7 linked regions of the Callithrix jacchus genome follow. The protein of the gene in region 4 purifies or fractionates together with the protein of the main gene of each other region. This does not show direct contact. Links are inferred from orthologs where the notes say so. Each region holds a gene or a part of one and is shown on either strand. Other genes may lie near its edges.

Evidence for each region.
Region 1: the proteins of WDR77 (region 4) and GAR1 purify together in Homo sapiens (affinity purification with mass spectrometry; 3 studies listed by BioGRID and IntAct, with this or other methods). This does not show direct contact. The link is inferred for Callithrix jacchus from reciprocal best matches to the Homo sapiens genes WDR77 and GAR1.
Region 2: the proteins of WDR77 (region 4) and CTDP1 fractionate together in Homo sapiens (co-fractionation; 3 studies listed by BioGRID and IntAct, with this or other methods). This does not show direct contact. The link is inferred for Callithrix jacchus from reciprocal best matches to the Homo sapiens genes WDR77 and CTDP1.
Region 3: the proteins of WDR77 (region 4) and LSM4 purify together in Homo sapiens (affinity purification with mass spectrometry; 3 studies listed by BioGRID and IntAct, with this or other methods). This does not show direct contact. The link is inferred for Callithrix jacchus from reciprocal best matches to the Homo sapiens genes WDR77 and LSM4.
Region 5: the proteins of WDR77 (region 4) and SNRPD3 purify together in Homo sapiens (affinity purification with mass spectrometry; 3 studies listed by BioGRID and IntAct, with this or other methods). This does not show direct contact. The link is inferred for Callithrix jacchus from reciprocal best matches to the Homo sapiens genes WDR77 and SNRPD3.
Region 6: the proteins of WDR77 (region 4) and CLNS1A purify together in Homo sapiens (affinity purification with mass spectrometry; 6 studies listed by BioGRID and IntAct, with this or other methods). This does not show direct contact. The link is inferred for Callithrix jacchus from reciprocal best matches to the Homo sapiens genes WDR77 and CLNS1A.
Region 7: the proteins of WDR77 (region 4) and SIRT7 purify together in Homo sapiens (affinity purification with mass spectrometry; 3 studies listed by BioGRID, with this or other methods). This does not show direct contact. The link is inferred for Callithrix jacchus from reciprocal best matches to the Homo sapiens genes WDR77 and SIRT7.

Annotation. Positions count from the first base shown.
Region 1 is NC_133504.1:87,430,769-87,435,237, reverse strand, and holds the start of GAR1 (H/ACA ribonucleoprotein complex subunit 1), read left to right. Parts: upstream 1-1,467; 5' UTR 1,468-1,540; coding exon 1,541-1,615; exon of another isoform or gene 1,616-1,710; intron 1,711-1,845; coding exon 1,846-2,077; intron 2,078-3,599; coding exon 3,600-3,754; intron 3,755-4,469. UniProt on the Homo sapiens protein: Required for ribosome biogenesis and telomere maintenance. Part of the H/ACA small nucleolar ribonucleoprotein (H/ACA snoRNP) complex, which catalyzes pseudouridylation of rRNA.
Region 2 is NC_133514.1:121,977,150-121,981,044, forward strand, and holds part of CTDP1 (RNA polymerase II subunit A C-terminal domain phosphatase), read left to right. Parts: intron 1-972; coding exon 973-1,063; intron 1,064-3,195; coding exon 3,196-3,362; exon of another isoform or gene 3,363-3,826; intron 3,827-3,895. UniProt on the Homo sapiens protein: Processively dephosphorylates 'Ser-2' and 'Ser-5' of the heptad repeats YSPTSPS in the C-terminal domain of the largest RNA polymerase II subunit. This promotes the activity of RNA polymerase II.
Region 3 is NC_133523.1:17,038,718-17,043,193, reverse strand, and holds the start of LSM4 (U6 snRNA-associated Sm-like protein LSm4), read left to right. Parts: upstream 1-1,560; 5' UTR 1,561-1,622; coding exon 1,623-1,625; intron 1,626-4,476. UniProt on the Homo sapiens protein: Plays a role in pre-mRNA splicing as component of the U4/U6-U5 tri-snRNP complex that is involved in spliceosome assembly, and as component of the precatalytic spliceosome (spliceosome B complex).
Region 4 is NC_133508.1:149,397,456-149,401,350, reverse strand, and holds part of WDR77 (methylosome protein WDR77), read left to right. Parts: intron 1-2,164; coding exon 2,165-2,235; intron 2,236-2,367; coding exon 2,368-2,422; intron 2,423-2,889; coding exon 2,890-2,961; intron 2,962-3,500; coding exon 3,501-3,609; intron 3,610-3,895. UniProt on the Homo sapiens protein: Non-catalytic component of the methylosome complex, composed of PRMT5, WDR77 and CLNS1A, which modifies specific arginines to dimethylarginines in several spliceosomal Sm proteins and histones.
Region 5 is NC_133502.1:195,106,453-195,110,838, forward strand, and holds the start of SNRPD3 (small nuclear ribonucleoprotein Sm D3), read left to right. Parts: upstream 1-1,253; 5' UTR 1,254-1,349; intron 1,350-1,535; exon of another isoform or gene 1,536-1,610; intron 1,611-3,465; 5' UTR 3,466-3,481; coding exon 3,482-3,607; intron 3,608-4,386. Other genes in the region: protein GUCD1, read right to left, coding at 1-121. UniProt on the Homo sapiens protein: Plays a role in pre-mRNA splicing as a core component of the spliceosomal U1, U2, U4 and U5 small nuclear ribonucleoproteins (snRNPs), the building blocks of the spliceosome.
Region 6 is NC_133511.1:62,972,762-62,976,656, forward strand, and holds part of CLNS1A (methylosome subunit pICln), read left to right. Parts: intron 1-851; coding exon 852-988; intron 989-3,895. UniProt on the Homo sapiens protein: Involved in both the assembly of spliceosomal snRNPs and the methylation of Sm proteins.
Region 7 is NC_133506.1:137,508,523-137,512,574, reverse strand, and holds the end of SIRT7 (NAD-dependent protein deacetylase sirtuin-7), read left to right. Parts: intron 1-525; coding exon 526-624; intron 625-697; coding exon 698-934; intron 935-1,060; coding exon 1,061-1,141; intron 1,142-1,341; coding exon 1,342-1,448; intron 1,449-1,919; exon of another isoform or gene 1,920-2,005; intron 2,006-2,600; coding exon 2,601-2,799; 3' UTR 2,800-3,246; downstream 3,247-4,052. Other genes in the region: PCYT2 (ethanolamine-phosphate cytidylyltransferase), read left to right, coding at 3,791-3,879. UniProt on the Homo sapiens protein: NAD-dependent protein-lysine deacylase that can act both as a deacetylase or deacylase (desuccinylase, depropionylase, deglutarylase and dedecanoylase), depending on the context. Specifically mediates deacetylation of histone H3 at 'Lys-18' (H3K18Ac).

The sequences.
Region 1 (4,469 bases), on a different chromosome or scaffold from region 4:
CGACATTCATTAAAATCAAATTGCAACCTTTACTAAATTAAAAGAAAAAGAAAAAGTGAAGTTTCCTCTCTCACTTGTTTTTTGTTTGTTTGTTTTGAGACCAAGTCTTGCTCTGTTGTCCAGGATGGAGTGCAGTGGCGGATCTGGGCTCGCTGTAACCTCCACTTCTGGGGTTCAAGCGATTCTCCTGCCTCAGTCTCCTGAGTAGCTGCGATAAAAGGTGTGCATCACCATGCCCGGCTAATTTTTCTATTTTTAGTAGGGGGGCGGGGTTTCACCGTGTTGGCAAGGGTGGTCTCGAACTCCTGGCCTCAAGTGATCCAGCAGCCCCGGCCTCCTAAGGGCTGGGATTACAGGCGTGAGCCATTGCGCCCTGCCTACAAAGGTATTTTAAAATCCCATTTACAATAACCCCGTCAATTAGATAGGTACCAAGTTCAACCCTATTCTAAACACGAGGTAGTCAGCTGTGTCAAATATCAAGGTAAGGTCTCAGAGGATTTGGGTATAAAAGACTCCAACCACATTTAATAAATGGAAGGTCACTACCTTTATTTGTGAGAGAAGCTCTGGAGAATGTGGGGGAAGCTGATGTCAAATATAAAGGGCTTAAGGAGAGAAGAGGGAGAGGAGCATCGAGCACAGAGTGGTTCACAGCCTGTCGGTGCTTAAAACATACTTGAATGAATACCTGGTACAAAGATAAAAAAGATGGTTTGGTTTTCTATAATACAGCATAAAAAATTAAATAAACACACACATTGCTTTTCTTCCTCTAATCAGTGAGACCACAGAACAGAATAACAGGCACAGTTCAACCCACAATTGTGCGAAAATCAATAGGTCGAGAAAAAACAAGAAACTCAGATAAACGCTTCCGCCGGCTGTGACAGGTTCTGACACAGCCAGATCCACTGAAAAGAGTGCGGCTCAGAAACCTTAGAGACCCGTCTGCACAGTTGCTGAAGTTAGCAACAAACTGGTGAGCGCGGTTGGGGACAATTTCGTGAGAAGCAAGTGCGCCCCGTTAATCGGCACGAACCTTAAGAACCAACCTTGTTCCTGCAAGGTGCTTTCGTTCCGGCAGTCAGCGCTGGAACCAAACTGGCACCCGCCCCGCCCCCGGTAGAGAGGGCGGATCTCTAACGCCAACTATCTCCAAGAGCAACATTGCCGCAGCACTTCCGGGATGTCGTGCTGCGAAGGACGCCGCTATTGTACGTCACTTCCGCTGCTCCACTCTAGGCACTTTGACCTCATGGTTGTAAATTAGTCGTTAAGGTTCGATATTATTCCACTCTTCCAGCACTGAAGACTGTTTTGGAACCAAGTGTTGCTGGTTCCGCCGGTGACTGGCTTTTTTTTTTTTTTGGCTTGCCAAAAAAAAGTGGGTTTAAAAAAAAAAACTCTGGCGGTACGGTAGCCGAGGAGGTTCCAGTGCTGCGGAAGTACCCAGCGGGTGGGTGTGTGCGCGCGCAAGGCCAGGGCCAGAGGTGCACGTGGCGCCGGTGAGTTGCCGTAGAAGCCGGAGGATCTGAAAATGCTGGACGCGGAACCCAGCTGCCAGAGGGAGGGAGGAAGGAAGGGGATACGGTGTGAAGACCTTGCTGTCTGTGTGAGGAGGAGTTACTAATCCTGGGGCGGCCAGGCTGGTCTGTGGTCGGTCGGCGTTCCGGAGACTCATGGGGAAGTAAACTCTTCACCCTAGAGGTTGGTCACTGGCGGTCTGACCGTGGGTGACGTGACAGGGCTGCTATTGTCCCTTTCTGACTGCGGCTCCAAGGGGTTGGAGTGTACTCAGAGGCTACAGTGATCAGAAGATAACTGCTCATTTTTTTTCACCAGGGAGGAGAGAGAATGTCTTTTCGAGGCGGAGGTCGTGGAGGCTTTAATCGAGGTGGTGGAAGTGGCGGCTTCAACCGTGGCAGCAGCAGCAACCACTTCCGAGGTGGAGGCGGAGGCGGTGGCGGAGGCGGCGGCAATTTCAGAGGCGGCGGCAGGGGAGGATTTGGCCGAGGGGGTGGCCGCGGAGGCTTTAACAAAGGCCAAGATCAAGGACCTCCAGAACGTGTAGTCTGTATGTAGTCTTCAACATTTAGCCTATTTGAAGGAGTAGAGGTGGGTTGTGGGTTTGTGTTATTAGTCAGCAAGTTTGGGATACACAAGCCTGTGTGGAAAATGATGTAAACTGACTTATAATCGTACAGTACATGTAAAGGTGGGATGGGGAGATGAAGAAAGCTGTGGGATACTTAAAATGCATCATGGAGGTGGAACTTGAGGGTTCACAAGAAGATATTAAAGATAGCAAGTGAATACTTATCCTTAATTCCCTGATTTTACAGATGAGAAAACCGTGATTCAGAGTTAATTTTTTTTGCTAGGGTCTTAAGGTTAGTGATAAGTTATCAGTTAGTGATACAGCTGAAATACAGGCTGGGTGCGGTGTCTCACACCTGAAGCCAGGAGTTAGAGACCAGCCTGGACAATAAGCAAGAGACCCTGTCTGTACAGAAAAGAAAGAAATACAAAGCCAAGTATTCTGAGTCCACAGCCCATGCTTTCGTTACTACTCAAAAGTTGGTAAGTGAGAAAAAAATTTGCTTGAGAGGGAAACTGCCAGTGAGGAAGTCGAGAAAAAGACCCATTTAGGGCAGTTTTCGAGTAATTAACAATGAGATTGGAATGGAAGTCACAGAAAGTAAAGCCTACTACATTAAAGATGAGAGAGGATGAACAGTGTCTAGTTAAGGAGGATTTGAAAGGAGCAGTGTCTAGAATAAAAGGTCCCAGCCCAGAAGCTGTTGCACCAGTCCATACGTGAGGCATTGAGAGCCTGATTCAGGATGGTCACAGTGAGGAAAAAGAGGAAGGGTTAGATAGGAAAGATTTCAAAGGAAACAAAATCAGTAGAACTTAGCTAATACTGGCAATAAAAAGTTTCAGGTTTTGAGCTTGGGCGATGGGAATGGAGAGTTGGTTTTGCAGGAATGTGGTAAGTATTTAAGTTTGGGTGATACTCTAGTTAGTTAGAAATAAAGGTAGTTATTTTGAGACTCCAGATGTCCTTTAAAAAAATGAATCATTGTTAAAGAGTTGGTAGTGGGAATGTGAAAGTTGAAAGGCAAGAGAAAAAAAAAAAGAACAAAGTCTGATTCAGTGGGGGTTGAAGACAAGGAAGAATCAGAAGAAAGAAGCAGAGTTTTGAATCAGATAATACGTTATAATAAGATAACTGTTTAGGTTGAATGGTCTCAGTGTGCCAGGCACTATTCTAAGCACTTGACATTTGTTATTCCATTTAGTCCTTACAATACTCTTTTAGGTGTAGATATACATGATATGGTATTAGTGCATACTAAAGATGAGACACTGAATTAGAGAGAGGGTGGGTGACTTCTCTTAGGTCACAGAGCTAGTGTGTTGTGGAGTCTGTAAACCAGCCCAGGAAGTCCACACTCTTAATGACTGTGGTCTTCTGCCTCACAGGAGAGCAGATATGGTGAAGTGCTGGTAGCCAAAAAGAAAGCTTCCAGGAGAAGTTCGTCAGTATCATTTGAAATAGTTCTATGTTTTAACATTTTCTTGTTCTATTTCAGTGTTAGGAGAGTTCCTCCATCCCTGTGAAGATGACATAGTTTGTAAATGTACCACAGATGAAAATAAAGTGCCTTATTTCAATGCTCCTGTTTACTTAGAAAACAAAGAACAAATTGGAAAAGTGGATGAAATATTTGGACAACTTAGAGATTTTGTATCCTTTTTAATTGGAAGACTGAATAATATTCAAAGGTTGCTATTTGTATTTTTCTGAGGCAGTTAAGTATAAATTAAACTTGTTTTATTTAATTAGACAGGATTGCTACATACTGGACCATGAAGGAGAATCAAGGGGAGGATGTATTCATCCATAGGTATTAAAATGACAGACCCTAGAAAGGTGAGGTTTTTTTTGGGAAAGTTCTAGAAATGATGGCCATTTGGATAAGTCCTACAGGATTAAGTTGGTTGATTTGGATATAGTGGTGCCTCTGGAAATGTAGAATTAGAAGTTGTTTGGTGCCCCCACTACTGTGGAAACTCTTCTCTCCTCTTCCTCTTCCTCTTTCTCTTTTTTTGAGATAGATACTCTGTTGCCCAGGCTGAAGTGCAGTGGCACGATCTCAGCTCACTGCAACCTCTGTCTCCTGGGTTTGAGCAATTCTCATACCTCAGTTTTTCAAGTAGCTGGGATTACAGGTGAGTACCACCTTGCCCAGCTAATTTTGGTGTTTTTAGTAGAGATGGGGTTTTACCATGTTGGCCAGGCTGGTCTCAAACTCCTGGCCTCAAGTGATCGACCTGCCTTGGCCTCCTAAAGTATTGGGTTTGCAGGCATGAGCCACCACGCCCAGCCCCCTGGAAACTCATTTTTTATTTTTCATATATATATGTCCATGTATTCTAATCTTGTTTTTGAAATTATACAT
Region 2 (3,895 bases), on a different chromosome or scaffold from region 4:
GGCTTAGAGTTTCGAAGGTGAATTTGTAGACCAAGAAACCCAGAGTGGAAGTAATGCCAAGAAGTCTCTGCCTGATTTGTTGGTTGTGATCAGGGTGCTTCCTGAACTGTAGGTGGCTTTGCACATAGCATGGGATCGCTATGTTTAAGGAGCCAAAGCAGATCCTCAAGCACCTGAAGCTCTTTAGAAAATGGTTGGTAAAAATTTCACTAGACTTGTAATGACAGATGTCAGGTAAAGGAGGTGTCGAATGAGCCCAAGCAGATTCCTCACTGTGGAAGTACATTCTGCAGCAGCTGGTCAGCGGGATGTCAAGTCTGTCCTTCTTCCCAGTCTCTTCTGTCAGGCAAGCTTCTTTGTTGCCTCAATTAGCAGCGCTAAAACGTGGTGTATCATGGTGAGAAGTAACTGGCCTTTCTGTGTATTTCTACCACACAGCATGGGAGTTTGTATCATTCTACTAAAGCATATGGGAGAAGCGAGCCTCCTTGATAGCTTTCCTCCACTAACTGTTACAGACAAGAGTGGTGGGCTGCCTACCTGGGGTTAGAAAGGGTTATATCCAAAGGGACACAGAATAATTTCAGTTTCATATCTAGACTCGGTCACGTGGAGAAGCACACACAGAGTGTTTCGAGATAGAATGGTAGCTTTCCTGTTTTCCTTATGCAGGTGCCTTCCATAATTTTCTTACCCGTCTAGTTTACATAGGCACTTCAGTAGGACATTAGAAATTTTTCAGATTAATAGAATTATAGACACTTGTCAACATAATTTGTGTTTGAGAAATAAGTTCACCTTGAGCAATCAGAAGCCCTAAATGAGGCATCTTACCTGAACAGGGTAAAGTGTTTGGTGCCAGTTTTCCATGCTTTGTGTCTGCCCTGTGAGGAAGCACCCAGGTCTTCGCCATGTGCTGTGTGATGTAAATGCATCTCAGATGTGCAATCTTTGTCCTGTTTTCTTTTCAAGGATTTTTAGACCCCGAGAAGAAGCTTTTTTCTCATCGAATATTATCGAGGGATGAATGTATCGACCCATTTTCTAAAACAGGAAACCTTAGGTATGTACCCGGCCAAGTTCATCACAGAGACTACTCGCTGTTCATTGCCCATTTTAAAAATCACATTTTGAGATTTAGACCAATATTCATATTGGTGTTTTTTAGGAGTTTCCTGTCCTCTCTCCAGTTTTCCTTGTTAGCCTCAGAGTACTGAGAAAATTCCTTTCTAACCTGTGCTCCTGCTGCCTCCCAGGCTGCCTGAGCCCTGGTGTTTGTACACAGCCCCTGATGCAGGCTCTGCCTGTCCCAACAGCCCTGCCCTGAAACCACCCTGGAGCTGGGCCTTGTGTCTGTGGAGGTGGGACTGTCGTCCTCTCTGCCTCGTCTCTCAGATGGCACGCATTTGATGTCAGCCTGCCACCTGACTTTGTGTATCTGTTTGCTTAACCAGTCTTGGCGTGTGTGATCGTTCTAGTCCCTTTAGCTTCAGATTTTCATTCCTGTGCAAACACCTGGCGCTGAGGTTTGTAGTTGGAGAGGTAGGAGGCAGTGTGCATCCCCACAGTAGCCAGGTGTGAAGCATTTGGCCTTTTTGCCTCTGAGTATCCAGGAAATGGCCAGGGCTTCTGGGGAACTCAGGGACTGACTTTCGGGCCCAGAACCCAGGAGGGCAGAGCCATGTAGGGACGCAGTGGGCATCAGGGAGGCGGCAGCCGTGAGGGCCTGAGTGGACAGAGGAATGTCCGTGACTCCATCCAACGTACAGATCTGCAGCTTTGTGGGGCTGCTGGTTTAGGGAGTGTTCTTAACGTCAGCATTGGCATCTGCGGTTTGTAATTTTCCTAGGAGCTTGCCTGTGTTAATCCTACTAATAATTTAGAAAACCCTAGGTCTCATGACCGTTTTCTCATATTTTTGCCTTTTGCCATTTCTTCCTTTCCATCAGTTCCAGAGCCCATCCCCGTCAGCTCCTCTGAGCTTTTTTGACACGGCTGGCCCCTCTCCACCCCTATGCAAGACTTTTGTATATTCTTTTATATTCTTTGATGTTTCTTGCCCACTCTGTATGAAGAGCTTCCCCATTTCCACCCGGAAGTCCGTCCTGCTGCCGAGACACCACGGCAGGTGTGGCTTTTTCTCCCGAGAGCCCTGGCGGTCACAGCTTCAGCATCAGTCACTTCCTGGCTCACGGTGGCCACCTGCCTCTCAGCATTTTGGTTTTTAGATTTAGGGAGTCCACACAGACTGTGAGGCCTATGCAAGCTAGTGTTAACTAAGAAGAGAATCTGAAGGTATTTACTTCAAAAACAAACCTTTTTGCTAGTGTGTGGCAGAGTGAGCAGCTTGATCGGAACGGAGAATGGGAGGTACTGACAGTGATTTGTTAAGGACAGTCGGCTGAAGCCAGAATGTAGGATGGGGACGTGCCCAGGATGGGCCCTGGTGACGGACGCTGTGGCTTGCATGGAGGTAGCTGGAGGTCCTCTTAGAAGTCCTGTATTGGCAGTGGGTCTGTGTTTTGTTTCTAAGATGGGTCTTGCTCTGTCACCCAAGCTTAAGTGCATAGTGGGGTCTCAGCTCACCACAGCCTCGACTTCCTGGGCTCGGGCCATCTTCCCGCTTCAGCCTTCTGAGCGTCTGGGACTACCGGTGCCTGTCACCATGCCTGGATAATTTCTGTGTTTTTTGTAGGGACAGGGTCCTGCTTTGTTGTCCAGGCTGGTCTCAGACTCCTAGGCTCAAGCTTTCCTCCCACCAAGACCTCCCAAAGCTCTGGAAATTACGGGAACGAGCCACACTGCGCCTAGCCCACTCTGTGTTCAGAGACAGCACATTCTGGCCTTTAGGCTCCTCAGCCGTGTTTGTGCATGGAACATGGCCGCACCCACGCGCTCGGAGTTGGGTTTTGTCCCTGTGGCTGGCCCATAATGCCTGAAGTAGTGACTCTGGTGCTTTAAAAAACGGTTTGAGAACTCCTGCTTGAAGGAGATCGGGAACAGTGGGGAAGCTGTTAAGGACGTTTAAATGTGACCCAAACCGAAAGGGCTTCGGGCCAGTTGGCGTCTGTTTCTGATTAACCTGCTGTCTGCTGGCTGCATGTGGATTCAAGTCTTAAACTGTTACGCTTGACAAAGTGAATGACTACAGCTTTTCATTGTTATTTTTTGTAAATTATGCATTTTCGCTTGTAGAAATCTCTTTCCTTGTGGAGACTCAATGGTTTGCATTATCGATGACCGAGAGGACGTCTGGAAGTTCGCCCCCAACCTGATCACTGTGAAGAAATACGTGTACTTCCAGGGCACAGGCGACATGAACGCGCCCCCCGGGTCCCGGGCGTCTCCGACAAGAAGGAAAGGTGGGCAGCCTGCTTCCTGATTCTTTGCATTTTATTTATCGTTTCTCTCTTCTCGTTTCTTGTCTATTTTGACTGCTGTGAATTTAAGATGCAGTTTGGTTTTGTTTGTTTGTATTTCAGTAGAGATTATTGGATTTATTTAAATAGTACTGAAAAACAGGATATTACGTTGTTTCAATTTGGGCCTTAAAAAATGGCCTTAACTTAAACATTTTCCCAGTTGAATAAAGACTCAAGAATGCTGTTTACTTAATACATCTGAGCAGCGCCTTTCATCCCAGTTTTCCTTGAATGTACCCCTGGGCATTTGTCCATGGCGTTCTGTAGAGAGCGCAAATGTGGGGTGCAGTGGCTCCATGGGGAGGAACCATTCCCAGTGCACGGTGGTCCGGCTGGGCGCTGGCCAGGGCCCCAGAGAGCGGTGTGGTTTAACATGTCAGGCAGGTGTGCAGCTGGCGTTCACCCTGTGAAAAGTTAAGTGTTTTTGATGTTTATTTTTTAAAAAGTATTTTGAGGCATACATTTACTGCTGT
Region 3 (4,476 bases), on a different chromosome or scaffold from region 4:
GCTGGGCTCAGTGGCTCAGACCTGTAATCCCAGCATTTTGGGAAGCAGAGAGGAGGGAGGATGGCCTGACCCCAGGAGTCTGAGACTAGCTTGAACAAACATATGGAGACCCTGTCTGTCCCAAAAAAAGAAAAGAGAGAAACATTTGAGCCTGAGAGACACAGAGAAGGCCAAGTGAAGACAGGGGCAGACAGAAAGCAGAAGACTCCATGTATAAGTCAAGGAACTCCAAGGACTGGCAGCAGCCAGCAGAACCCAGGAAGAGGCACAGGACACACAGAGCCTCCGGAGCGAGCCAGCTCCACTGACAGCCTCAGTTCAGAATCTGGTCTCCTGAACTGTGAGAAAATCACGTTCTGTTGTTTTAAACCTCTCAGTTTGCAGGCGTTTGTTACAGCCCCAGGAAACAACAGCATTTGCCTATTTACTTTGTTTACTGTCTCCCTGAGAGCCACGAATTTTGTGTTTTGTTCATTTCTGTGAGCAGAAGCAGGCACAAAGTATATTGTTAAGTACTTAATATGCGCCAGACCTGTTTTTGTTTGTTTTGAGACAGAGTTTCGCTAGTTGCTCAGGCTGGAGTACAATGGCGTGATCCTTTGCCTCCTGGGTTCAGGCTGGAGTACAATGGCGTGATCCTTTGCCTCCTGGGTTCAAGCGATTCTGGGATTACACCACTGCCGGCTAATTTTATTTTTTTGTTTTTTGTTTTTTTTGAGACGGAGTTTCGCTCTTGTTACCCAGGCTGGAGTGCAATGGCCGATCTCGGCTCACGGCAACCTCCGTCTCCTGGGTTCAGGCAATTCTCCTGCCTCAGCCTCCCAAGTAGTTGAGATTACAGGCACGCGCCACCATGCCCAGCTAATTTTTTTTGTATTTTCAGTAGAGACGGGGTTTCACCTTGTTGACCAGGATGGTCTCGATCTCTTGACCTCGTGATCCACCCGCCTCGGTCTCCCAAAGTGCTGGGATTACAGGCGTGAGCCATCGCGCCCGATCGCCAGGCGCTGTTTTAAGTGCTTTTTACATAGTTTCACTCATTTCATCCTCACAGCAAGCAACCTTTTGGAGCAGACACTACTATTATAACCCATTTTACAGCAAACTGAGGCTCCGAGGGGCGTGGTCAGGATTCCAACCCACTAAATGATGTTCCTGGATAATTACAGAATTAGAAAACTAGGAGTCCGAAGGGCGACCTGAGGGACGTCCCAATCACCACGAGACCTCGCTGTCTCTAAGACTGCAAACGAAAGGCATTAACTGGCTTTGCCCACAGCGTGGAGCCCGAGACCGACGGCTTCACCTGCGCATGCGCTTACCCACAAAACACCCCGCGCCTGGGCGCGTTGCTCCGCCCCCTTTTGCATTACAAGTCGCGACACTTTACGGCTCTATTCCTCGTTCCTCCGGCGGGAACGCGGCCCGCCCGCCCCTTTCGCCCAGAGGGCCCCGCCGTGTTCCGCGTGGATTGGTTGGCCGCCCTTCGAGCCCAGTGCTGACTGGCTCGCGTGTCTGCCACTTTCTTTCAGCCTAGTGGCGCGCGGCGCTGCGACGACCGCCGGGAGCGTGTGCAGCGGCGGTGGCGGAAGTGGCCGGCGAGCCCGGTCCCCGCCGGCACCATGGTGAGGGCAGGGCAACGGCGGGGTCTCATCGGGAGGCGGGAGCCGCAGGCGTTGGGAGCCCTCCGGGCGGGCGCTGACGGTTGGGTTGGCGCGGGGTGAACGTAGAGTCAGAGCCTCGCGTTCCGTCTCCCGGCACGAGGCTGGGAAACTGAGGCTGGAGACTGCAGATGGCTCTAGGACGTCTGTGTCTGAGATTTAGGGTTGCACGGGCTTGTATCCGTAGTACAGCGGGCTCGCTTTACTTAGTTTTTCCCATTTTTTCCCCTCAGGTGGGGAAACTGAGGTCAAAAAAGGTGGGGGCCCGCCAAATGCAAGTTTTTGGGCAGGGAAGGGGCCCCGAACGCTTCGGGCCCGGTCAGACCTCCCAGATTGAAAATTAGAGTGCTGGGAAGTAGGGGGCCAGTCTGAGTTGTGAAACTTAGCTTTAGGAATTTCAGAGCTTGCAAGATGCATAAAATGCTCGCAGCACAGCGTCCTAGGCCTGTTGTTTTCTGTCTGAAAATCGGGCCTGGTGCTGGGGTGTGGTCTTTCTCCTTGGGTCACATAGCATGTCATTCCAGGGGAAGGGGGCATTTTGAGCAGGAGTGGATAAAGTGCATCCTCCCAATACACAGAAGGAAAAACTGAGGCCCAGGTCTCTGCAGGGCCAGATGTTTGTGATTATGGAAGTTCTGGATCTGGGCCAGAAAGTGCCCGTGTCCTCAATGTGCAGATCGGAAAACGAAGTCGGAGCTGGGAATTTCCTGGCCCATCAGCATCTGGCGCTTCTTTTTTCAGGGAGAGAAATCTAGGCCTTTGTTGGGGATGTGACTTCCAGACTCTGTGAGACAGTGGGAGATTTAGTAACCAGGAGGGACCCACAGGGGTGGCTGCATCAGAGCTGAGGATTAGTAAGAGATGCTCCCTAAATCCTGGGGTCAGTGTGTAACCACCCAGTGGGTTCACTTAGCCTGCTTCCTAGACAGAGCCGATTTATCAAGACAGGGGAATTGCAATGGAGAAAGCAATTCACACAGAGCCAGCTCTGCAGGAGACTGGAGTTTCACTCTTGTTGCCCAGGCTGGAGTGCAGTGGCACAATCTTGGCTCACTGCAACCTCTGCCTCCCGAGTTCAAGCTTTTCTCCTGCCTCAGCCTCCTGAGTAGCTGGGATTACAGGCGTCAACCACACCATGTCCGACCAATTTTTTTGTATTTTTAGTAGAGACAGGGTTTCACCATGTTGGCCAGGCTGGTCTGGAACTCCTGAACTCAGGTGATCCACCCACCTCAGCCTCCTGAAAGTTCTGGGATTACAGGGTGAGCCACTGTACCCAGCCTAGGGGATCCGAGTTTTTAAGATGATTTGGTCGGTAGGGGCTCAGGAAGTGGGGGGTGCTGATTGGCTGGAGCTTCCTGAGGTTGGAGATGGAGTCCTGAGGAGGTCGAAGTGAGATTTTCTTGCTGTCTTCTGTTCCTGGGTGGGATTCTGTCCGTGGGTGGGATTGCGGGACTGGTTGAGCCACATTACTCGTCTGGGTGGTGTCAGCGGATCCACCTAGTACAGGGTCTGCAAAAATATCTCAAGCACTGATCTTAGATTTTTATAATAGTGATGTTATCCCCAGGAGCAATTTGGGGAGGTTCAGACTCTTGAGCCAGAGGCTTCGTGACCCCTAAACGATAATTTCTAATCTTGCAGCTTGTCAGTCCTCCAAAGGCTGACTGGTCCCCAGGTAAGAAGAGGGTGTTTTCTGGAAAAAGCTATTACCAATCTTGTCTCAGAGTCAAACTATAGACTGAATTTCTTCCCAAGGTTAGTTCGGCCTATGCCCAGGAAAGAGCAAGGACAGCTTAAAGGTTACAAGCAAGATGGAGTTGCTTAGGTCTGATCTCTTTTTGCTGTCATAATTTCCTCAGGTACAGTTGTTGCGAAGGCGGTTTCAAGTGCAACAATTCAGAGAAGGGAGCCGGCCCCTCCTGCTGTGTCCCCGAGGGCAGAGTTGGAAGGGTCCATCCTGTGACAAGTTTTATGGAAGCAGGATCTTCATTTTTCTTCCCTCTATTATTCCCACTGTGTAGAACGGTGCGTGGGCAAAGTTAGAACTCATTCATTCAGCCCGTCCCCACCTTCTGAACATCCAGAGTCCCCAAGTCCTGGCTATCCAGGCGTTTCCTGGAGGAGTGGCCAAGAATGGACGAGGCGGGCCAGGTGGAGTGGCTCATGCCTGTAATCCTAGCACTTTGGGATGCCGAGGTGGGTGGATCACCTGAGGTCGGCCAACATGGAGACACCCCGTCTCTACTAAAAATACAAAATTAGCCTGGAGTGGTGGGATTACATGCTTGTAATCCCAGCTACTTGGGAGACTGAGGTAGGAGAATCACTTAAACCCAGGAGGTGGAGGTTGCAGTGAGCCTAGATTGTGCCACTGCACTCCAGCCTGGGCAACAAGAGTGAAACTCCGTCTCAGGGGAAAACAAAAAGAATGGACAAGGCCTCATGGGATACACACTTCCAGTTCCCTGTGGTCAGGGTAGGACTAGGAGTGACCTGGGTTAGCAGCCGGGGAGGGCAGTCCTGGAAAGCTTCTGGAATTAGGAGCCACTGGATTTAGTCCTCATGGGTCTAAACCTGAGAACCAGACTCCAGGTGTTCCAAGAAAGCGCAGAGAAAGGAATTCTCTTTTCTGAATTTTCTTGTGATCTTCCCTGAGCCAGGTGATGGGGCCGCTCCCATCACACTTGGCACTTTTTTCTTTTTCTATTTCATTTTATTTATTTTCTGAGACAGTCTCGCTCTGTTGCCCAGGCTGAAGTGCAGTGGCACAATCTCGGCTCACTGCAACCTCCACCTCCCTGAGAGCGATTCT
Region 4 (3,895 bases):
TTTCTCTTGGGAGCCATTCTTTGTGCAGATAATATCTGGAGCCTTAATATGCGCATGGCTATGAGATTTAGGTGCTGGGTGATCACCGTGGTTCACTCCGTGGCCAAGTGCCTTTCCCTGCCGTTTCTGACTTCAAAGTGCATGATTCAGTTATAGGCCAGAGAAATCACAGACTCATATCCAAGGTCCAGTGTGCTGGACCTCAGGGTCACTTTCAAATAGGTTTACAATAATATTGAATGCCCATCTGGGTGTAGTGGCTTACCACTGTGATCCCAGCACTTTGGGAGGCTTAGGCAGGCGGATCACATGAGGCCAGGAGTTAGAGACCGGTCTGGCCAACATGCCAAAACCCCATCTCTACTAAAAAGTACGAAAATTAGCCAGGTGTAGTGCTGCGCATCTGTAATCCCAGATTATACTTGGGAGACTGAGGCCTGAGAATTGCTTGAACCCTGGAGGCGGAGGTTGCAGTGAGCCGAGATCATGTCATTGCTCCCCAGCCTGGGTGACAGAGTGAGACTATCTCAGGAAAAAAAAAAAGTCAATGTCCCCTGTCTATTATGTTTGCTTTTTATTTCTTAGACATATGATGTGCCTTCCTGGTTAATATTAACTCTTTTTCATTACTTCAGCCATTCATCCCTTAGTTCTTCGTGTTTGTGTCTTATTCCCCTTGCTGAATTCCAAATCCCTTCTTATTTCTTAATTTTTTGTACAGAGTCTTGCTATGTTGCCCAGGCTGCTCTCAAATTCCTGGGCTCAAATGATCCTCCCACCTTGGCCTCCCAGAGTGCTGAGAGATTACAGGCATGGGCCACCGCACCCTGCTCCAAAACCTTTGGCGGTAGAGGAACCATGCATTCTTCACCTTTTGTACACCACCATGGTGCTTGCCCCAGAGCTTTGCTTTGTTCAAGTGAGCAATAAATTCCTTTTCTTACTTCTTATTCTGTTGGCTTCCTGTGAATTCTAGGGCTAGGAAAGAACTGTGGAAGTCAGTAAAATTCCATCCTTCTGCCTCAGGGAGGGGCCACATTCAGACTCCCTGGGAAAGTCTGGTAGAATGACCGTAGAAGAGTTTCGCAGTTTCTAATTAACATGTAGCAGTGACTTAAAGTTTTTTACATGTAGACCTCCCAAAACAATTTTGAAAATCGATGCCCCCTCATACATTTTTAAACTGATACCTAAAAAATTTTAAGTAGTTGCAGAGAAGGTAACTTCTGGCATATAATTTATTACATACTTATTTCAGGCATACATTTGTCAAAATTTTAGATTCCTAGTTAGTTTGTACGAATGTTTGCCAGATAGCCTAACTGGCAAATGCCAATGTGTGTTGAAAAGCCAGTGGACCAAGTTAGACTAAGTTTTCTGTCAGAAAAAGTCTGACTTTGTTACCACATTCAGATAAAGTTGTTGAATATGTCCTTATCACAACAGTCTGTCATATTTCTTAGTTCTTGTCATTAGACAAGAGTTAAGTCACAGAACCATACTTGTGTTTGTGATATGACTGAAACAAGATCAGCCCCTTCACTGAATTTTACCCAGATGCTCCTTTTGCTCTTTGGTTCTTAGGGAAAAGCCCCTTTTGTCCCTTAGTTTAGAACCCTTATATTTTTATACCCCTGAGCATTGTACCATGGAAAGATCTGGGATAAATGACAGGTATCTGTTTCTTCTATAAAGTGGGAGAAGGGTGATGGTGAAAACAGAGGCAGTTCAATTTTAGGAAAGAGAACATTGAGAGAAATTGGCGCTCTTAATGCTATTAGCGCCCAGAACTCCCTCGCAAGTTTCTGTATACTACTTGGAGGTATGTGTACTCCATCCAGCATGAAGACTGCTATTCTAGGATTATTTAGCCCTCATGTCTAGGAGGTCTTAACTGGAAATTCCTTTATTATTCTTACTAAGCCCCTAATTTCTCATTCCCTGTCTTTACTAATACTTTTCTTTACAAGACTTTTTAGGTTTTATAGGTCTGTAAACTTCTCCTCTTAGCTTCTGTCTAATCCATAACCTACCACAAAATTTGTTAAATTGCATCCTGAGACCAACTCTTCCTCCCTCCTGTGCCTTGATTATTCCTGGGCTGGCCTTCTTGTAATGCTTCGGCTTGTTTTCTGTCATATTTATCTTTCTCTCTACTTTTCAGCTCATGCTGCGCAGGTCACCTGTGTCGCTGCTTCTCCCCACAAGGATTCTGTGTTTCTTTCATGCAGTGAGGTGAGAGATAGCTCCTTCTTCCCTAAACACACTCCAGTCCTCCATAGGCCACAGTCTCTAGTGTGGAGATTTTCTGGCCTACAGCTGCTCCTTTGGATTGTGAAGTCCTTTTTCTTTTCCGCCTCCCTCTAGGACAATAGAATTTTACTTTGGGATACCCGCTGTCCCAAGCCAGCATCACACATTGGTGAGTCTGAGATTCATTGGTGGGAGAATAGTACTTGGAACCCCAATAGAAGAGACTTTCTTTGGCCAGTGTCAAAGCAGATTTGCCAGATTCCCGATCTAGTTACTGTGACATGAGTAACATAATCTCCTTCTTTTCCACTGAGGCTCTCCTAACCCCATTCTGTGCACTGAATACCAAGAGGAAGGGCCAGTTCCTGGGTGGGTTATTTATTTTATTAGGTGGGAGGACAAAGGGGCCAGAATTGTTATCTTCATGACTGTGTTTGAAACTGGCCTGCGACTCATGTCCAGAAAGCGCAGGAGGCTGGTGGATAAATGGTTATGAGGCTGAAGGATGAGGACATTGCTGCCTTAGCAGGGTTTGGGAACTCCAATAAAGGTGCTCCTAGGATTTATAGTGATGTCACTTGAGAAAGTGCTTCTTCTGGGCTCTGAGTTTTAGTCCAGACCCTCTTCTCTTTGCAGGTTGCAGTGCCTCTGGCTCCCTTCCTACCTCACTGGCTTGGCATCCTCAGCAAAGTGAAGTCTTTGTCTTTGGTAAGGCAGCATGTCAGACTTCATATTGACTCTGGGAAAGGGGAGGAGGAGAGAAAAAGAGCTGACTCCACAATGCACAAGGCTCTTGCTGCTCAGTCTTATCAGCACTCGTGGACGCTAGATGAATATGAATTAAGGGTGGGGAGGTGGGGGTGATGCTAATGTAGTTTTACTGTAGCTTTGGAGAACATTTTTTTTCCCAGTGGATTTGATTTTTGATTGATTGATCCAGCTCCGGTATTCTGGGCATGGCTAGAAGTCAGAGAGCCACAAAACAAGTGGGTTGCTGTATACGGAATTCTCTTAGACTGTGGGTAGGTGTAGGGCTATTGCGGTCATGAGGCTGTGCATATGGTGACATGGTTTGTGGTTAAAATAATAACTCCTTCATTCATTAACTTAATTTTCACAATCGTCCAGTGACTTCTTATTCCTACTTTGCAAACCAGAAAACTACTGCACCAAAAGAGAAAACTGACTTTGGCTGGCACCAAGTCCATGCTCTTAACCACTGTGACATGTTCCTTTCTCTTCTACAGGGGACGAAAATGGGATGGTCTCCCTTGTTGACACCAAGAGTACAAGCTGTGTCCTCAGCTCAGCTGTACATTCCCAGTGTGTCACTGGGCTGGTGTTCTCACCACACAGGTACTGGTCTTTGTTATCAGGGGCCTGATGGGTATGAATGGGAACAGTGAGGGGGTGTGTGTATATTTTCTTTCTTTTTTTTTTTGAGACGGAATTTCGTTCTTGTTACCCAGTCTGGAGTACAATGGCGCGATCTCGGCTCACCGCAACCTCCGCCTCCTGGATTCAGGCAATTCTCCTGCCTCAGCCTCCCGAGTAGCTGGGATTACAGGCACGCGCCACTGTGCCCAGCTAATTTTTTTGCATTTTTAGTAGAGACGGGGTTTCACCATGTTGACCAGGATGG
Region 5 (4,386 bases), on a different chromosome or scaffold from region 4:
CCAGTTCCTCCGCCGCCACCGCCGCCGATGCGGTGGGGAGAACTGGAGGCGGCGGCTGGGCCTCCCCAAGGCCCGCCCCGGCCCTTCTAGTTCGCGAATCTAAAGGCCCCGCCCCTTCCATAAGCCCCGCCCCAAACTTTGATTCTAGACGCCCCCAGTCTCTCGATTTAAGCCCGCCCCGGCCATTTGCCGCTTCTGCGTCGGGTGGCCCCGCCCCGTCGCCCAATCCTCGCGTAGACGCGCTGCCCACCAGGACACGGGCCCCGGAAGCCCCACCCCTTTCCTTGAGGCCCGCCCCGAAGCTCGTGCACTTAGTGCAGATGCTTCCTAGAGGTTCGTCTCTTCAGCAAACTCCGCCTCTGCCGTGACCCGCTCCTTTGCAGCCTTAGGTGTAAGCACCGGTCCCGCCCAATGCATTGCCGAAGCGCCAAACAACTCTCTTTTTATTTTTTTATTTTTATTTTATTTTATTTTTTGAGACGGAGTTTCGCTCTTGTTACCCAGGCTGGAGTGCAATGGCGCGATCTCGGCTCACCGCAACCTCCGCCTCCTGGGTTCATGCAATTCTCCTGCCTCAGCCTCCCGAGAACCTGGGATTACAGGCACACACCACCATGCCCAGCTAATTTTTTGTATTTTTAATAGAGACGGGGTTTCACCATGGTGACCAGGATGGTCTCGATCTCTTGACCTCGTGATCCACCCGCCTCGGCCTCCCAAAGTGCTGAGATTATAGGCATGAGCCACCGCGCCCGGCCACAACTCTCTTTCAACTGCCTTTAGGGATGATCCTGAGCCGGCCGCCGCCCTACTCTATACCTAATTTTATCCGTACGAGATACCTCGCCCCGCTCAGGGCGCCCCTTACCTAGCGGTGCCGGGATCAAAAAATTAAATTGTGAGGGGGAAGTCCTGGCCCTTGGCCCAACCTCCTGCTGCCCCGGGTCTGACGGCCCAGGCCCCGGGTCTGACGGCCCAGGCCCCGGGTTTCCGCCTTGCAGTCCAGCCTGTCCTTGGTGTGGGGTGCTTGGAAGTGCGAGCACCCTCTGCGGCTCGTTGCCGGCCCAAGGGTCGTTGTTTCCGGCGGCCCTCGGGCCCAGTTATCAGCCGTCTCTTCTGGTGCCGGAACTATCGTAGCGGTGCCCTAGTTTCCCAGCCGGCGGGCGCAGCGAAGAGGAAGCGGAGACGAGACCGCACTTACCAATGGGGAAAGGAAGGAGGTGGGCCCTGCGCGCTGCATTTTGGGAACGATTGGAATTCTGGGAGCTGGGCCCGCCATTCGCTGAACTCACGCCTTAGCCGTAGACTCATTTGCCGCCGCACCGAAGAGGAGAAGGAGGCCGGAGCTGGTGAGGCTGGGGACGGGCAAGGGGGGGTCGAGGGGCCACTCGCTGCATGGAACTCTGCGGGGCTCGGGGAGGGAAGAAAGCGGGAAGCTTGGGCCACCCAGACATCAGCGAGCATCGCCTCACTAGCGCCTAGAAGTAAGTTCATTAGCTTCAGCGTGCATGCTTTCACTTTTTGTATCTCTCCAGGTCAGTGTTTTTCAGAGCTTCCAGGCAGTAATCTTGAAGTCATTTCTGGTTGACTGTCTCCTTTCCCCAAATCCTGTGAGTGCTTTTTTCTGTTTATTTTTTCTTTTTGTTTTGGAGTAGTGATGGGTTTCACCATGTCGCCCTTACTAGTCTTGAACTCCTGGGCTCAAGGGATCTACCGGCCTCGGCCTTCCAAAGTGGTGGGATTATAGGTGTGAGCCACCGCGCCCGGCCGATCATTCTTTTAAAAGTTACTTGCATCTCTGCCTCCAGCCCCCTTTCAGGTAGTGGTCCCCTCATGGTTTCCACACTGTTGCAGAAGTTTTAACAAGTTTCTCTGCTTCTAAACCTTACATTCTATCCATTTTATAAATAAATGCTGCCACTTTTTTTTTTTATTCAAAAAAAATTTTTTTTCTTTTAAAGACGGGTTTTCACCATATTGGTCAGGCTGGTCTTGAACTCCTGACCTCAGGTGATCCGCCCGCCTCAGCCTCCCAAAGTGCTAGGATTACAGGTGTGAGCCACTGCGCCCGGCAGTGCTGCTGCTTTTTTCATTACGTCATTCTTTACTTAAAATCGTGCAGTGGTTCCCCACTATTTTCAGTATAAAATGTAGACTCCTAAAGCTGAAAGCAAGGGATCCTCACCAAAGGAACCTGTTTCTTCAACCTCACGTTCTCCTCTGTTAAGTGCACTTACGTTCCAACTTTGAGTCGTTGCTTATCTCAATAAAAAGTTCACTGCTTGATTCTTTTTTTTTTTTAAAGACGGGCTTTCACCATGTTGGTCAGGCTGGTCTTGAACTCCCGACCTCAGGTGATCCGCTCGCCTTGGCCTCCAAAGTGCTGGGATTACAGGCTTGAGCTACCACGCCTGGCTGCTTGATTCTTTTAATTAGGTCAAATCAGGTGATTTCCCTGATTTTCCTCCATGACAAGCATTTCCTGAATAGAGCATATTGTCACTTTGATATTTCCTCATCTTTGATGGTAAAGTAAGTGAGGGGTTAAAGGGCTGAATTAAAAGTGCAGCCCCCTCTCCTAGGTGTTCATGGGTCCTTTGGTCTGTATCTGCACCTTCCATAGGGGAGCCACTAGCTACATATGGCCATTGAGCACTTGGAATATGGCCACTGGGATTGAGACTGGGTTTTTTATTTTAATTTTATTTTGTTTTAAGTAAGTTTAATTTAAATAGCTACATGTGGACATGAGCTGTATTGGACAGCTCAGGCCTATATAATTTTCAAAATGTAATCATGTACAATTACGGTTGACAATAACAATGCAACAAATAACATTCTAACCCCCACTCCGCAACACGAACAGTATTCGCTAATGGTCATTTAGATGAAGATTAAGGGACATAGGGTAGTAGGGACATGTGGTTGATGGGAGAGGCTCTCTTTTCATTTCTATTTTTATCTCTGTCCAGCCCACCATTCCTTCTCACCCCACATCTTGCACATATTTGCCAGATAGTTTCCTCCAAGCCAGGAGCTGAGTTGTTTTTGTTTTGTTTTATTTTATTTTGTTTTTGTTTTTGTAGAAAATGTAGCTTTGGGCCGGGCGCAATGCTCACGCCTGTAATCCCAACACTTGGGAGACCAAGATGGGTGGATCACGAGATCAGGAGATTGAGACCATCCTGGCTAACACGGTGAAACCCCATACTAAAAAAGTAGCCTGACTTGGTGGGGCAGGAGAATCTCTTGAACCCTTGAGGCAGAGGTTGTGGTAAGCCTAGATTGTGCCACTGCACTCCAGCCTTGGCAACAGAGAGAGACTCTGGCTCAAAAAAAAAAAAAAATTCAGTTTTGGCATTTTTGCTAAGTTTTATGGAGGGCTAGGCCTTGAAGGAAGCACAGTATGTGCTGCATGCCTTCTCAGTCTCTGAATGATGAACTGACTGTTGCCTCTCTCATTAGAACTCTTCCTGCCAAGATGTCTATTGGTGTGCCGATTAAAGTACTGCATGAGGCCGAGGGACACATTGTGACATGCGAAACGAACACCGGCGAGGTATATCGTGGGAAGCTCATTGAGGCAGAGGACAACATGAACTGCCAGGTATCCTGCTTTGCACATGAGGCTATGTGGGAGGAATGGACCTGTGTCTCAGAGGAACGGAAAGGTGTGGGTTGGGGGTCTTTGAAAAAAAATTGTTCTCATTCAGCAATGATTTTCTTTTGTTTGTTTGTTTTTTATTATTTTTATTTTTCTTATTATTTTGTTGTTGTTATTTTTCAGCAATGATTTTCTGAGTGCCTAATGCATGCCAGGCACTGTTGTTACAGGCTCTGGGAATGTGGGCATGAACAAGGCACAGTCTTGAGGCAGGAAAGCCATTGGAGGTTTGGAATATTTTACTTTGTCCTTTTTGTTTTTTCCATCCCCAGAGTTGGGGGCCTATTTGAGGGAAGTGCTACTTCAGTAGAATTCTTCAGATTCAGAGCCATTATCCATTTGCCTTCACTTGCCTTGTGGTTAGCAGAATCTTCTCCCATACTGTATTTGTTTCCCTTTTCTCTTGGAGGGAGAATCTCATTTGATTATTGCAACTACCTTGTGAGGTAAGCAGGTTTGGTGATAGTCTTGACATCCATAAAATAGGGAGAGTGAGATTAAAGGACTCATCACTGATAATAAATAATGGAGTAGTTTCCTGATATGGTGTCCTTCTCATGGCACAACTTGGCCTTTTGCATAGTCATCTGAATTTTTTTTTTTTTTTGAGACAGTTTCGCTCTTGTTACCCAGGCTGGAGTACAATGGTGCGATCTCGGCTCACTGCAACCTCCGCCTCCTGGGTTCAGGCAATTCTCCTGCCTCAGCCTCCTGAGTAGCTG
Region 6 (3,895 bases), on a different chromosome or scaffold from region 4:
TTTTTTTTCCTGCTAAATGGTACAGCTCCAGATGGATGAAGTATTATCAGAAAGCTAGCTAGCCTCTACTGAAAGCTCAACATACTGATATGTTTTCTTTGTTACACCAGTAAAATATTTGCATTTGACCGCACTTGAGGGAAAATGAGACCTAGCATTTCTGTGGCTTTCTCTTAAAATTGTTGCATAAATGAAAGGCTTTAGGGAGACTGTCTCTCAAGGTAATAATTATTTCTTGACTTGCAGTGAGTGTAATTACAGCCATTTCATATGTATGTCATTTAATATAGGATTCGTGGAGAAATGAATGATTGCCAGGGATTTATTGCATATTTACCTGCTGAGCTCTTTGCTAATGGTTTTGAAGAATGTTAAATAACGGAATGTGATCAGTTCTGCTGTCAAGTCACTCACATTCCGAAGGGGCACATATAATATTCATTACCACAGAGTTAAGTGCTATAATTTGCAATTCAGAAAAATAAGAGATTATTATGGACTGGAATAGTTGAAGGGAGGCCTCATGGAAAAGGGAAGTATTTGCAAAAGCAAAGAGGGTGCTTGAAGACACACCAAAAAAGAGTAAGCATGAAAGTCATAGAAATATACATGTGACTGAGGAAAATGGAATTTCAAGTTTGTTTTAATTTTTAGCTAGAGGTAAAGAGACCGTAACAGAATGATCTTAAAGAAAATTAAATTCCCAGTACTGAATTTTCTTATTTTATGAACATTTCTAAAAAAGTAAACTTGAATTTATTTATATGCATAAAGGTGTCCAAACTTTTATATACTTTGTGGTATTACTTTAGAATTTATTAAAAATAATCTACTTAAAACATGTTTTTCAGCCGCCTGTCTTGGTTAGATGGCTCCGGATTAGGATTCTCGCTGGAATACCCCACCATTAGCTTACATGCATTGTCCAGGGACAGAAGTGACTGTCTGGGAGAGCACTTGTATGTTATGGTGAATGCCAAATTTGAAGGTATGTATGGTGTAATTTAATCTAATGCTTCCTTTGATAGCAAATTATATTTTAAAATTAAAACAGTCTTTGACGCCGGTACAGTGGCTCATGCCTGTAATCCCAGAATTTTGGGAGGCCGAGGCAGGTAGATCATGAGGTTAAAAGGTCCATCCTGGCTAACACAGTGAAACCTCGTCTCTGCTAAAAATGCAAAAAATTAGTCAGGCATGGTGGCACACACCTGTAGTCCTAGCTACTCAGGAGACTGAGGCAGGAGAATCAGTTGAACCTGGGAGGCAGAGGTTGCACTGAGCCGAGATCGAGCCACTGACCCCAGCCTGGGCAGCAGAGCAAGACTCCATCTCAAAAAAAAAAAACAAAACCGGAAGTCTTCAATAATAATCAATGATGTAACGCTGAAGTCATTGACTCATTTTGGATAATAGTTTATGATGCAAAATTTCAGCACAGCAGCTTGGACACTTGAAGTTTTCATAATGGACATTCTTGTGTATCTGTATATATCTTCTATATATTTACACTTAGAATTCTTCATTTATTATGGATATATATTTTTAACTTTTCCTTTGAAGTTTAACTGTTTATTCTGTCTTTCTCTTTTTTTTTTGAGTCAGAATCTCACTGTGTTGCCCAGGCTGGAGTGCAGTGATGTGATCTTGGCTCACTGCATCTTCCACCTCCTGCGTTCAAGTGATTCTCCTGCCTTAGCCTCCCAAGCAGCTGGAACTACAGGTGCATGCCACCACACCCAGCTAATTTCTGTATTTTTAGTAGAGATGGGGTTTCAACATGTTGGTCAGACTAGTCTCGAACTCCTGACCTCAGATGATCCACCTGCCTCTGCCTCCCAAAGTGCTGGGATTACAAGTGTGAGCCACTGTGCCCAGCTGTCTTTCTCTTTTTATTTTTTTTGAGATGGAGTTTCGCTCTTGTTACACAGGCTGGACTGTAATGGTGTGATATTAGCTCACTGCAACTTCCGCCTCTTGGGATCAGGCAATTCTCCTGCCTCAGCCTCCCGAGTAGCTGGGATTACAGGCACGCGCCACCATGCCCAGCTAAGTTTTTATATTTTTAGTAGAGACGGGGTTTCACCATGTTGACCAGGATGGTCTCGATCTCTTGACTTCGTGATCCACCCACCTCGGCCTCCCAAAGTGCTGGGATTATAGGCATGAGCCACTGCGCCCGGCAAGACACCCTTAGAGGCTTGGTTCAGTAGACCCTGTGCTTCTGAGAATTTAAGATAGAACGGTTTTGTTTTGTTACAATAGTAGTTCTCAGTGTGTAGGAGGGATATATTTTCCATGGGTCTCCACTGACCTCACCATTCCCCCACATTTAGCAGTGACATTTGGTTGAAAGAGGACGGGTATTATTGGCCTCTAGCAGTTAGATGCCAAGGATGTTTTTATTATACTAAACATTCTACCATGTGCAGGATGGTCCCCTACAACAAAGAATTATCCATCCAAATGTCAGTAGTGCCAAGGTTGAGAAACTAGGATATAAAAATTCCCAAGTTCTGCTTTGGGATAACTGCAAAGACTCAAAAATTTAGTGGAAATGTTCATGTTTGAAATAATGGGTTGCTTTTCTTTGAAGTAGTGTATAAGAGACAATCCCATCAGTTTGCCTGTAAGGCTATTGCTCTTTCAAATTGGGATTTTAATATGGTGTCAGATATAATATGATCATTTATGTTCAGTTGTGACACAATTTAGTAATTTTCAGGACTTTTGGCAAGCCCTGCCTCATTAAGTGGTAACAACTGATTCAGCTATCTGAAAATATTTTTGTTATAAGATTTCAAATTCTTGCCATTGGAAAAGGTTCAAAGACATAAAAATCTAGTGAAGTTTGAAGAAGAGGTTGAGGAAAAGTAAAAGGCTGTTAACCTTGGGGTGTAGTAAGACTTCCTTATAAGGTATTAGGCACAAAATTTACTCTCCATCTAAGTAAATGTAACTATGATTTTATAACTAAGAATATTATCTGTCATGTTTAGTTTAAAGCATTCATTCATTTGTAGAAATGCAACACCTTAGAGATACTCTTGTCAGTCAGCTCCAAATGCTGGTGTGAAATGCCCCTAAATAGTGTTGGGCATTGGAGCTGGGAAAGGTACATGTCAAGAGAAAGGCTAGGAAATAGGGTTTCAAAAATACTAGCCGAAGGGCGAAGCACATTGAATAAGAAAACTGTCGTTAGGCCAGGTGCAGTGACCCACACCTGTAATCCTACCACTTTGGAAGGCTGAGGCAGGTGAATCACCTGAGGTCAGGAGTTTTGAGACCAGCCTGGCCAACATGGAGAGACCCTGTCTCTACTAAAAACACAAAAATTAGCTGGGTGTGGTGGTGGGTGCCTATAATCCCAGCTGTTTGGGAGGCTGAGACATGAGAATTGCTTGAACCCAGGAGGTCGAGGTTGCAGTAAGCTGATCATGCCACTGCACTCCAGCCTTGGTGACAGAGCAAGGAAAGGAAAGAAAACTCTGTCATTAACTTGCTAGGCAAATCATTTGCACCTCTCTGACCTTAATTTTATCCAAAAAGTTGAAGGAGTATATTAGTCTCTAGTTCCCAAACTCAAGACTAATGGATACACGTTAGAAATATGTGGGAAGTTTGTTTAAAATGCAAATGCTGTAAGTCCTAAACTAGGAAAAAGCAGTTCAGTAGGTTTTAGGGTGTGTGTTTTAAATATGTGCTTTATAATCATACAGAGTCAGTATGATTATTTGCTTGTAATTGATGTAATTATGATTAATTTCTTAGTAAGGTATGCAGGATTTCCTATTAATTTTTAGTGTCTTCCTGGGTCACATTTATTTCACTAATTCTCCAGTTCTTTTTATCTTGAACTCCTCTTATAATTACACATGCTTAAATAATATTTTCC
Region 7 (4,052 bases), on a different chromosome or scaffold from region 4:
ATCCACAGCCAGCCTCAGACCCAGAGGTGCCAGTGGCCTTTCCCCTTTGTGATTCCTTTGCATTTTTCTGTGGATCTCAGAAGCCATCCTAGTCACAGGGGAGGCTTGTAGGAATTCTCTGGGGACCTTCTGCTGAACACCCTCAACCAAGGCACCGGTAGGGGTTGATCTGCTTGGGTCCGAAGGGACCTGAAACATCATGACCCACAAGAGCATGGATCCAGAGCAAAGTGACCCTTGCCAAAGCCCCAAGCCACTTCCCAACCTTGCTGGGACGGTACAGCCTCTTGCCCTCCCAGCCAATCTGGGTGCATCAGGGCTGGAGGGAAGGGCACAGCGCCACCCACCATAGGCCCTCTTGAGTCTTGGTGGTTGGTCCTATTGTGTGTTGTACTTTCAAAGGCTCTCTGTGGGGTTGGAGTTGTTCCTGGTCTTGGGAGCCATCAGCTGGGTTCAGAACAGCCTCTCTGTGGCCTTGTTTTGATATCCCCACCCTCTGACAGCCCTTCCCATTCCACCTTCCAGGTGCAGCATGTGGTGTCTCAGAACTGTGACGGGCTCCACCTGAGGAGCGGGCTGCCACGAACGGCCATCTCAGAGCTCCACGGGAACATGTACATTGAAGTGAGCAGTCCTAAGGGGACCCGGGAACTCCACGGGCAGGCGGGTCCCACTCACTGTGCCCTCTCCTCTTCAGGTCTGCACTTCCTGCGTTCCCAACAGGGAGTACATTCGGGTATTCGATGTGACGGAGCGCACCGCTCTCCACAGACACCAGACAGGCCGGACCTGCCACAAGTGTGGGGCCCAGCTCCGGGACACAATTGTGCACTTTGGGGAGAGGGGGACGTTGGGGCAGCCTCTGAACTGGGAGGCGGCAACTGAGGCTGCCAGCAGAGCAGACACCATCCTGTGTCTGGGGTCCAGCCTGAAGGTGCGTGCCAACGACACCATGAATGAGCTGAGCCCCCACCTGCCCAAGGGTGTCCAGCTCTGCAGCCCAGCACTCTACAGCCTTGTCCCTTGTGTGTGTGCTGTGTCTGTCCGTCTGTTCCCACAGGTTCTAAAGAAGTACCCCCGCCTCTGGTGCATGACCAAGCCTCCTAGCCGGCGGCCCAAGCTCTACATTGTGAACTTGCAGGTATCTCGGGTGCTGAGAGCCACATGCTCGGACCTGGGCCTTAGAATGCAGAGCCAGAGACACCCATGCACCAGGGCAGTCTGATAGGGTCCCCCGTGGGTGTTCAGGGAGCAACGACCGAGGCCACCTGGGCCGAGGCTGACAAGCCACTAGGAAGGATTGGGCTGCTTTTACCCTCATTTGGCTTTCCCTGTCCTCAGTGGACCCCAAAGGATGACTGGGCCGCCCTGAAGCTACATGGGAAGTGTGATGACGTTATGCGGCTCCTCATGGCCGAGCTGGGCTTGGAGATCCCTGCCTATAGCAGGTGAGTGGGCCTCCGCAGCAGCCCGTTTACCCGCACCTCATGTGCTGGGCCTTGTCTGTCTTCTTTCATGAGCTGAGCGTGGAGGAGGCTCTGAGGTGTTCGCAGCGATGTCTGAGGCGTGACTGAGGCGTGGTGGTCTCCAGAGGGCCTGACCTTGGTGTTTGGCCGAGACTATGCATGGGCCACTCGTGCGCCAGCTGATGGTGCACAGAATCCCTAAGGGGAGAGGGATTCTGCCCGCATGCTGCTGCTCCAGGCCTCCCCATGGAGCTCTCTGAGATGCCTGGTGGGAAATGTCTCGAGGGGACGTGCACTCAGCAGTCTGGTCAGACAGAATCTGTGCTTGGTTTTGGGAGTTGGCGTATTTTGGGAAAGCTTAAACTTGTGCTTTAATACAGAATTTGTGCTAATTTAGACTTGGTGTATGTATTGAGTAAAAAGTTTACACTCTCTTTCTCTGTGAATTTTCAGGGTCTTATAGGGGAAATCAATAACTTCTTTTAATCAAAGGGTTCAAGAATTAAGGATCCCTTCGCCTTCTGGGCCTGGCACTTCTTGTATGTTATGTGTGTGGTGTTCTGTGATGTGGGCTATCGTGTACTGTATTTTTTTTTTTTTTACATTAACTTAGCTCATTTTCCTTATCAGTGCTTATCTGTATCTTAAGTTATGATCTGTGGTTCTACATCTCAGTAAGACACATGGTTTCTTCACGGTGTCGTCTGTAGGCCACGCCTCCCTAGTCAGCTGGGAAAGGGGAGAGGGTCTGGTCCACCTGCCCCTGGCCTTACAAGTCAAAGGTGGGGCCCAGAGTTGCTAGTGACTCATCCCTGGAGACGGAGGCAGCCCTGGGGCCACTGCTGCCCCGCCCTGTGTGTGCACGCTGCTCAGTGGTGGATGAGGACACGGAGTTCTGAGGAGACCAAGCTAGCTAATGTGGGCACTGACCTTTAGTGACACCTGAGAGGTGACCTCTCCCACATCCGTTCTGCAGCTTGGTAACAAGCTGCCACCAACTGGAGCCCAGCCGCGGTTGACACGGGAGGGAAGGGGATGGGAAGGCAGGGACCGCAGACAGCTTTCCCGAGCTGGGGAGGGTGTGACTTCGAGAGGCTCCCAGGCCTGCCTGATGCAGCTTTCCCTTTTTGGCAGGTGGCAGGATCCCATTTTCTCACTGGCGACTCCCCTGCGTGCTGATGAAGAAGGTAGCCACAGTCGGAAGTCGCTGTGCAGAAGCAGAGAGGAGGCCCCACCTGGAGACCGGGGTGTACCACTTAGCTCAGCCCCCATTCTAGGGGGCTGGTTTGGCAGAGGCTGCACAAAACGCACAAAAAGGAAGAAAGTGACGTAACCTGGTGCTCAATGAAGAACAGCTGGCACTTTGCAAATGGCCAGTGTCACGGTGAAGGCTGGGTTGTCCCACAGGTCTAATGAGAACTTTGGGGATGACGTTTTCACCATGACATCTTTAGCCATTTGTCCTTGCAGAAGCCCCTTGCACTGCTGCGGTTGTCTCCTGATACAGCTTGGCCATCCTCTATGTCAAGAGGTGGCAGCCGCCCCTTTCTGTGAGAACGGAACTCGGGTTATTTCAGCTCTGGCCCGCAGAGGAAGCGCCCAGCTGCCTTCCCTCATTCACCAGGCCAGTCTCAGGGCCTCACCCCATTTCTACTACTAATGAAAAAGTGTGAACTTTATAAAACCCTCTTTCTGTACTGAATGTGCGGTGGAGGGATGGCTCCGAGCCTCGGCTCTATGCAGACCTTTTTATTCCTATTAAATATTTCTCTGCACTGGCCTCCAGTGTCCGCGAGTGGTTGTCGCGGGCTCCCCAGGCGCAGGTCCACTGCCTGGCAATGTGGTCCTGGCTTAAAAACTCCACAATGATGAATATTATTATGCCAAAAAATAACAAGGAAAAAAAAAACCCTGCTTGGGACAGCGCCCCGTGGGGGTTCATGGAGGCGGCGGCGGCGGCGGGACCCCCCGCGCTCCGCACTGCCAGGCCCGCCCTTTGCCAGGAGTAGGCGGTGCGGAGAGGCCAGGTGTGGGCAGGGGGCGGGGCTCTGGCCGTGCGTGTGGGGGGGCGGGACCGTCGGGGTCTCACGCTATTGGCCGTGCGCGGAGGTGCGGTGGGGCGCAGCCTTCGAGGGCGGGGCACGGTCCGGAGTGCCCGTCGCGGGTCCGGGACGGCGGAGGCGGGACTCGGGTCGGCGGCTCACACCATTGGCTGTAAGGAGCGGGTGAGGCCCGCGTGACGGCGGTTGCGCATGCGCCAGGCGGGCGGCGGCGCTCGGAGTCGCCGGGAGCTGCCAGGCTGGCTGCGCCGCCGCTGCGGAGCCATGATCCGGAATGGGCGCGGGGCTCCTGGCGGCGCAGAGCAGCTGGCCCCGGAGGGCAGACGCGCTGTGCGGGTGTGGTGCGACGGCTGGTGAGCACAGGGCCGGGGCGGGCTGTGGGGTCGCCGGGGCCGGCTTCTTTTCGGAGCGCTGAGCCGGCCGTTACACGGGGACCGGGCCCCCGTTCCAGGTAGCGTCCGCGTCCGGCGTGGGCCGGGGCTGCCAGGCTGCGAGGCGCGCCCGCCGGGAGGGTCGGGCTCCAGAG